Yarrowia lipolytica: one gene and its partners. The main gene of each other region encodes a partner of the protein of the gene in region 3 in a complex. Links are inferred from orthologs where the notes say so. Each region holds a gene or a part of one and is shown on either strand. Other genes may lie near its edges. The genes, in order: YALI1_E00551g, YALI1_F13366g and YALI1_E12067g.

Region 1 (2,667 bases), about 1.2 Mb from region 3:
CTTAACGAGATACGATAATGTGCAGTAGTTGCAACTGCGTACTCAGCTGCCTGTCAGACTCAGTGCTGAGAACACGATAACACTGAGTACAGTTGACGCGGGTGACATGATAGAAGCCGACTTGAGCTTCGAGAAATCGAATACTTGGGCCCCTTCTGTGATCTGTCATTGCTCCTGAAGGGCCATCCCTAGACTGGAACCACGGTCCAATTCACCCCACACAACCAATGATTCAGCCGCACATGGGTCTGATGCGTACTTATGTGCACAACTTGCAGGCTCGGTGCTTCATCAGAGGATACTATGGAAGCAGCTTTCAGGCGACCGTCTGAATAGGGGACAGTACGAAATTTGGCTACAAACAGGCATCTACAGTATGTACACACGAGTAGTCGAGTGGCTGAGAAATAGTTGACAGATATTCTACAAGTACAGACGTGTGTCGGTTGATCGAGAATCCATATCTTCTCAAATGATATACAGGAGAGGTAGACTTTTTCTTTCTTTCTCCAGCGCCGTTCCTAATACTTGTACTATTACAGTATCTCGAGATATCACCGTTTTCCAGGCACTTAGGTAAGTGTCTTAGTTGGCTGATTACTTGGGTAAAATTTGAAAGCCAGGACATCATCAATATCATTTAACTAATGTCTGTTAGCTGCACAAAAATGGAAACAATCCCAGAAGCACTCATAGCTCTTGCAAGATACCATTTATCAATAGACCCCATCAAATAATCATCATTAACCAGGACTGTGGTCTCGAGAAATGTGACAGGCCATCAATGCTCTTCCTACTGTAGGTTAAAACAGGTTAAAACAGGTTAAAACAGGTTAAAACGCCATCTGCCCGTAATACTGTAGTCAGTGATATTACATACAGCGACTCTCTCAGAGCAAGCTACAATACCTGCCGGTATGGTACTTGTCCGAGATGTTGCACCCACAGGTCATTTCCAGGTATGTACAGTACATACTTGATACTGGTACATGCTCCGAACGCAAAAAATGCACGTGACTTTTACCTGAGCAGTAATTAGAGATGAATGTTAGCAGCATCTGGCTTACATGAACGCAGTCATATATTTTATCCACTTTGAGAGCAACCAGACCCCTCAGGTAAATTTCCTTTATTGTTCATATATCCGACCTACCTATTTCGGCTCGATATTAAAGTGCTCTTAATTACTCACGTATTGTACTGACAGACCGACCATGTTCAGAGTGCCAAAATAAGGTTGCAGCATCCAGTAACATTTTCAACCTTCATCTCTCACACGACGTCATCGCATCCCAACTACCCCTCTACACAACAGACTCGAAATGCTCTACGAACTCGTTGGAATCGCATCGGTGACTCCGGCACACGCGGCCGCCAAGCAGGCCGTCACCCAGATCGGCCGAATGATCATCGGCAACAGAGGCGTGGTCCGCCTCATTGAGTGCTGGCGATTCAAGCCCCTGCCCCAGATCATGAAGGCCCAGCAGAAGAGCTACGTGGTCGGCGACTACTTCTACATGAAGTTCGACTGTTCTCCCGGAGCCCAGGGCGAAATCATGCGAGCTGTCCAGGCTGACCCCCGTTTGATTCGAACCTTTTGCGTCAAGCTGAATGAGAAGTGAGTATGATATGGTTGCTCTTGAACAGAGTAACGAAGCTGGAGAGCTAACTGGGACAGGCGAGAGCTATTTTGTGAGCAGAAGTGCCCGTTTGGACAAAAAATGAAGTCTTTGCTCATTCTATCCTTTTCTATTTAAGATGCTCTTTTGACAATCATTCTCTAATCTTGAGTGGCGTCTTGAATAAGCAACCCAAGTCTAGACACGGACATGTTGGATTCTAGTCTTCGCCAAGCCGTCGGAATTCCTCCTCTGTTACCTGAAATAGCACCTCGAGCTATTAGAAGCGACCAGACATTTATATACGACTTGAGGCAGTTCCTCGTTGCATTCAAACAACTATATTTCTACACATCTTCAACATACTAACACAGATCCAGCAAAACCCTCATCTAGCATCTCTATTTAATGTACATATTCGACACAGTGTAAGTGATTTTCTTGCCTAAGGCGTGCCTGTAGGTGGACAGTATGTTCAAACTTCAGAACAAGGGCATTAGTTAAGGAGTAAAGACGACTCTTGCCCGTCTTGTGTGTGATACAACTGTTCTTATCTCGTGTATCCGAGACACTGTTTTAGCTAATACATGGTCTCGAACACGGGTGTGTGTGCATACTCATAAGACTACATACCGGCACTGGTACGAGGGAGTAACACTGTCAGTAACTACAACTGTTCAGATATGAAGTCAAATAAATCTCTCACGGCTGCAATATCGTAGATATATACTGGTGCCGTACATACCTGTACACGGATTACAAGTCGTTAATCGTCTAAAGGTCTATGCGAGTGTCGTCATGACACGACGACTCATTGGCAAAAACTGCATATGCTACCTTTAGTATGTACTGTACATACATCAATATCACACGAACCCCATTAACGTACTGTTTATTGTCTATATTTTAGTCCCCCCTTGTCGTTCCTCTATCTTACAAATACCTCTCTTAACCTCCTCCCCTACATAGTGTAAGCGGACTTGTATTCTCGCATGATGACGGGAACGGCCGAGGGAGGCAGATGACCCAGCTCGGTGATAATCTTGGT
Region 2 (2,193 bases), on a different chromosome or scaffold from region 3:
TGCCGTATCCACTGTACAGTACCGTACCTTGTCATACTTGCTTATGCTACACCTACGGTACAGCTTCTGATGTAGAACACAACTGTGTGAATATCCATACTGTAGAGAAGGGATCGACTGGTTCTATAGTTCCTATACATTGGTAGCCCTGCAGCATCGTAGTGCAACTGAAAACCTTTGACTTATCACAGGGACCTGGACACTGGAACCTCGTGCTGGAACTGAGCAGATGGTACTTCGGCGCATTAGAGTGGTCTAGAGTGGTCTACAGAAGCATACGAAGAAGCGTCAACAGTCTACAGCGAATCGAATTACATGCACCGTCTCAACAGTATCGCCATAATGGGTGGTCGCAAAGTGTCTACAGTCTGGAGATATGAGATGGACCTTTATGATACATTGTACTAATCGAGAGAGTTCTTCTACAACTTCTGGTTACTCTGGTTAACTCAAGTAATTGCAGAACTACAATACCCAGAGGCGTCAACATATCAAACAGACCATTGGAAACCCTACACCTCCATCACCTCTCCCTACACATCCCACCTCCGATCTTCAACCATTACCAATTCCGTCTCGCTCCCAGTATCGTAAATCACAGAGAATTCATAAATATGTACATGCTGGCGATGGATGACATCGCTTATCGTCGGTTCTTTCCCTGGGGAACCATCTTGGGGTAAAGTCGCTTGGCGTGGAAGTTGATACTGTCCTGCTGCTTGACGGGTTTAACCTGAGTTAGAATTGCAAAACGAAATTAAACCGACCCTGTCGCCTCAATCATCTCCAACCCTTCTCCTCTCATACTCACACTCTTGCAGGCAGCCATCTTGAACTCCTGTTCAATCTCCTTGCAGGCCTCGGAGTTGACACCGTTGGATGACCAGCACGCCAAAAGTCGAGACAGAAGCTGCACGGCCTGGGGGGCCTCGGCGGTCTGCAGGTTCTTGACACGCAGATACTTGAGCTTGGGCAACTTCTGGGCGGTCATTTTTCGAGACTTTGTGTATGGTGATGTTGCAGTGAAATTTTACTGCATGTTGGAGATGCTGGTGGTTAGGGTTATTAGTCAGCAAAAAATGGAAGGAATCTGGAAATATACGATACGGCGGATAAACGGGGTCTATGGAGCATTGTCAGTTACGGCTATAGCTAGATTACCGACGTTTTTTTTTCTTCGGTTTCCCCCCCCCCCACCTCATTTCGCCACGTGACCATAAATCAAATAAGGTTTTATTATAGCGGTCCGGGTAACTTCCTATTTGAGAAGTCCCACTCAACTTGCATGGAAATAAATTTACACGGCAGCTCTTCCTTTTCTTCTTCTTCAGACACTTCGGCTAGAAAGACGGTGAGTAATAACGACACACCACACGGTGGCGAACGCAGCGAACGCAGTGGAGCGATGCAAAAGCTGAAGAGCAGGACCTCAAGGAGCAACCACTAACAACAGCACAGTTTTCTTTGCAGACGACACCGAAATGCAGATTTTTGTCAAGACCCTTACCGGTAAGACTATCACCCTCGAGGTGGAGTCTTCCGACACCATCGACAACGTCAAGTCCAAGATCCAGGACAAGGAGGGAATTCCCCCGGACCAGCAGCGACTTATCTTCGCCGGTAAGCAGCTCGAGGACGGCCGAACCCTTTCTGACTACAACATCCAGAAGGAGTCCACTCTCCATCTCGTCCTGCGACTTCGAGGTGGTGGTAAGAAGCGAAAGAAGAAGGTCTACACCACCCCCAAGAAGATCAAGCACAAGCGAAAGAAGAACAAGCTTGCTGTCCTCAACCTCTACAAGGTTGACGATGACGGAAAGGTTGAGCGACTTCGACGAGAGTGTGAGTCTGAGTCCTGCGGTGCCGGTGTCTTCATGGCTGACATGAAGGACCGACAGTACTGCGGCCGATGCCACCTCACCCTCAAGGCCTAAATGTATTGATTTAGTTTAGTATATTTATCTCTTGAACAAAAATCAACGCTGTAGATTGTTTAAAAATTTTCTAAGTAGAGCTGAACACCGCAGCGTCTGTTTCACGAGCGAGATACCGCTCAGTCTGTAGTTGTGTACCCGTACTTCATTCGGTCTACATCTTCGTTGCAATAAATAAAACCCATCATTGACGCTGGGTGATTCCGCTCATGCCCTGTTCCAACATGGGTCTCAACATCTGGCCAAAGGGAGTGGCGAG
Region 3 (2,426 bases):
CTGATCCACCGACTCGCCAATCTCGTTAAAGAGTCTGCGTGATGCACACACGACACCCACCACCACAACACACCCCAGCGCTTTCGATACTGCTCCTACAAGAGATTAACAATGATCATTGGACTCTCCTCATGTCTCTGATTAATTTGATACTACTTTCAATGTAATGCGATCGCAACTGACCGTTTTACCTCGCTTCCCAACTCCCCCTGTTTGAACCTACCCTCGATATTCGTCAGACCTTCTTCTGACTCCCCTCCTCTCTCTCATTCCACCGGTGTCCCACATCCTCTCCAGATCCGCTCCAGATCCGCTCCAGATCCGCTCTAGCCCGCTCCAGATCCACTCGACACCACCGCTTAACCCTTTCACGCACCTCCATCACACTACTCGTCTTCAGCCACCTCAACTCAACTAAACATCCATTATCTATGTACAAGATTCCTGATTGGTCCGAATCTGCTTCTCGTCGGATCAACCATCCCTCACAGTCACACTCCGTTCGCGTTTGTGTCTGTCTCTTTTGGTCTGTCTCTTTTTGTCCGTGTGATAGTGTGATTGTGTTGTGTCTGATCTGAGCCCTTTTGTGTCTGTGTCTGCACCGTTTGCTTCCACCACAATGCAACAACACAAATCAATGCTTCTCACTCTCGGACACCCCCCAGACCACCTACTGCTTCTTGTCGACTCCCTTCCAGTCCTCAGGAAGCACGCCAGCCAGCATCAGGATCCGGGTGGCAGTGTCCGACGGCTGGGCACCGGTTCCAATCCAGTACTTTGCTCGATCAAAGTCCAACTCGACGTCCTTCACCGGCAGCACGCCTCTCTTGAGCTCCTCGTGCGACCGGGGGGCAGGAATGGGGTTGTATGTGCCAATCACCTCGATGGGCAAACCGTCTCGTCGCTGGCCGGCCTTGGCCACCACAATGTTGTACAGGGGCGAGTGTCGTCGGCCAAATCGCGCCAGTCGAATTCTGATTCCTCCCTTCATGATGAGATGATAAGTGTCGGTGGGTTTTTTCACGGTGCGTCTGGAGACACAATTTTACATGCCATTTTGCATCATGTCAGGGTAAGGGCTTCTTAAGGTTTGCTGAGTAAGCAAATATTTGGTCCGCGGTTCGATTTTCGACTGGGGCAGATTTCTTGTTTAATTTTTGATCTGGAGTTGATTTCGAGATTGCAGGCGGCGGCTATATTGTCTGGTCACGTGATTGCATTGCATTGGCACGTGCTGGATCGTCGACGAGTTTGGTGGGCTTTGTTCCGTCCATCTTCAGTTTGGGCTTGGGAGCCACAACGATCTTCAACGGTGATCGTGAGACATGGCCGGGTAGGGGAGGAGGGTTGTGGGTGGTTGGAGAGCAGGTTGGAGGGTGTCAGGGGTGTCACGGGGGTTTTTTGGCGGTTTGGGGTGGTAGAAAACAGGTTATGGGGGGTTTGGGGTGGTTTTGGTTGATTTTGGGCCGATTGCAGATATATTTCCGGGCCTCAGCTGTTTTCTACCTTTCTTAGATCGCTCTCGAATTGGCTCTTTCTTCAGGACGTTTGGTTTCACATTCAGAAGGGATATTTGCTCATTGTGGCTGTGAAGTTGTCTTGATAGAGATGCTGATCGGAGCATATTTGAGTGAAAAGAGAGAATCGGGTTGATTGATGGAAGACGGTGACGTGTATTTTGATTTGGGGTTGGTTGTTGATGTTTTTGTTGGTTTTTTTCCCTCTTTTGGAATTCTTTGGAATTCTTTGGAATTCTTTGGATTTCTTTGGATTTCTTTGGATTTATCGAATTATTTGGATTATCCTTGATTCCATTAAATCAAAAAAAATCAAAAAAATCAAAATAATCAAAAATAATCCCGAAAATTACATAAATGATCACACAATGTCAGGAAATCAACAGAAACCTAGCCGGATCCGCTCCCGAACACGTGCGACGCCCTCTCCAGCCGCGCAGAAGATCTCAACGGGCTAATTCCCGCTACAAGAACGATATTAACGCATATAAAGCCGGCCGGCGTGGACCTCGGGATTGTCCTGTAGCGATCTGCACCGAAGATCTTCTAGAAGGTGGGCCGGGTCATGTGACCGTTGGCGATGGTGGCAAGCGTCCGCACGGTTAGACCATGGTCAGAGTGGAGGCATTACATGTCTGTGATGGCACTCCATGTCTGTGATGGCAATTACATGTTGCTGTTGATGGCACTACAATGTCTTGTGGATGGCATTTACATGTCTGCCTGTGATGGCAACTACATGTCTGGTGTGTTGGCATTACATGGCTTATGTCATGGTATACATTTCTGGTGTGATGTGATGAGGCTGGCCGTAACCTCCCTATCCGGTACGTTTTGAATCGCTCTGTGCGTTGCTCTGATCATTAGACATTAGGTGCATTACGGCGATCATTCGACGGCGGTTAAAGC

Evidence for each region.
Region 1: YALI1_E12067g (region 3) and YALI1_E00551g share a complex: the UniProt entries of both Saccharomyces cerevisiae proteins name them as parts of the mitochondrial small ribosomal subunit. The link is inferred for Yarrowia lipolytica from reciprocal best matches to the Saccharomyces cerevisiae genes MRPS16 and MRP17.
Region 2: YALI1_E12067g (region 3) and YALI1_F13366g share a complex: the UniProt entries of both Saccharomyces cerevisiae proteins name them as parts of the mitochondrial small ribosomal subunit. The link is inferred for Yarrowia lipolytica from reciprocal best matches to the Saccharomyces cerevisiae genes MRPS16 and MRP10.

The regions. Positions count from the first base shown.
Region 1 is NC_090774.1:54,520-57,186, reverse strand, and holds YALI1_E00551g (mitochondrial 37S ribosomal protein bS6m), read left to right. Parts: upstream 1-1,322; coding exon 1,323-1,618; intron 1,619-1,993; coding exon 1,994-2,015; downstream 2,016-2,667. Other genes in the region: YALI1_E00533g (uncharacterized protein), read right to left, coding at 2,581-2,667. UniProt on the Saccharomyces cerevisiae protein: Component of the mitochondrial ribosome (mitoribosome), a dedicated translation machinery responsible for the synthesis of mitochondrial genome-encoded proteins, including at least some of the essential transmembrane subunits of the mitochondrial respiratory chain.
Region 2 is NC_090775.1:1,335,873-1,338,065, forward strand, and holds YALI1_F13366g (mitochondrial 37S ribosomal protein mS37), read right to left. Parts: upstream 992-2,193; coding exon 812-991; intron 734-811; coding exon 644-733; downstream 1-643. Other genes in the region: YALI1_F13355g (uncharacterized protein), read right to left, coding at 1-35; YALI1_F13373g (ubiquitin-40S ribosomal protein S31 fusion protein), read left to right, coding at 1,482-1,934; YALI1_F13384g (uncharacterized protein), read right to left, coding at 2,119-2,193. UniProt on the Saccharomyces cerevisiae protein: Component of the mitochondrial ribosome (mitoribosome), a dedicated translation machinery responsible for the synthesis of mitochondrial genome-encoded proteins, including at least some of the essential transmembrane subunits of the mitochondrial respiratory chain.
Region 3 is NC_090774.1:1,205,285-1,207,710, reverse strand, and holds YALI1_E12067g (mitochondrial 37S ribosomal protein bS16m), read right to left. Parts: upstream 992-2,426; coding exon 671-991; downstream 1-670. UniProt on the Saccharomyces cerevisiae protein: Component of the mitochondrial ribosome (mitoribosome), a dedicated translation machinery responsible for the synthesis of mitochondrial genome-encoded proteins, including at least some of the essential transmembrane subunits of the mitochondrial respiratory chain.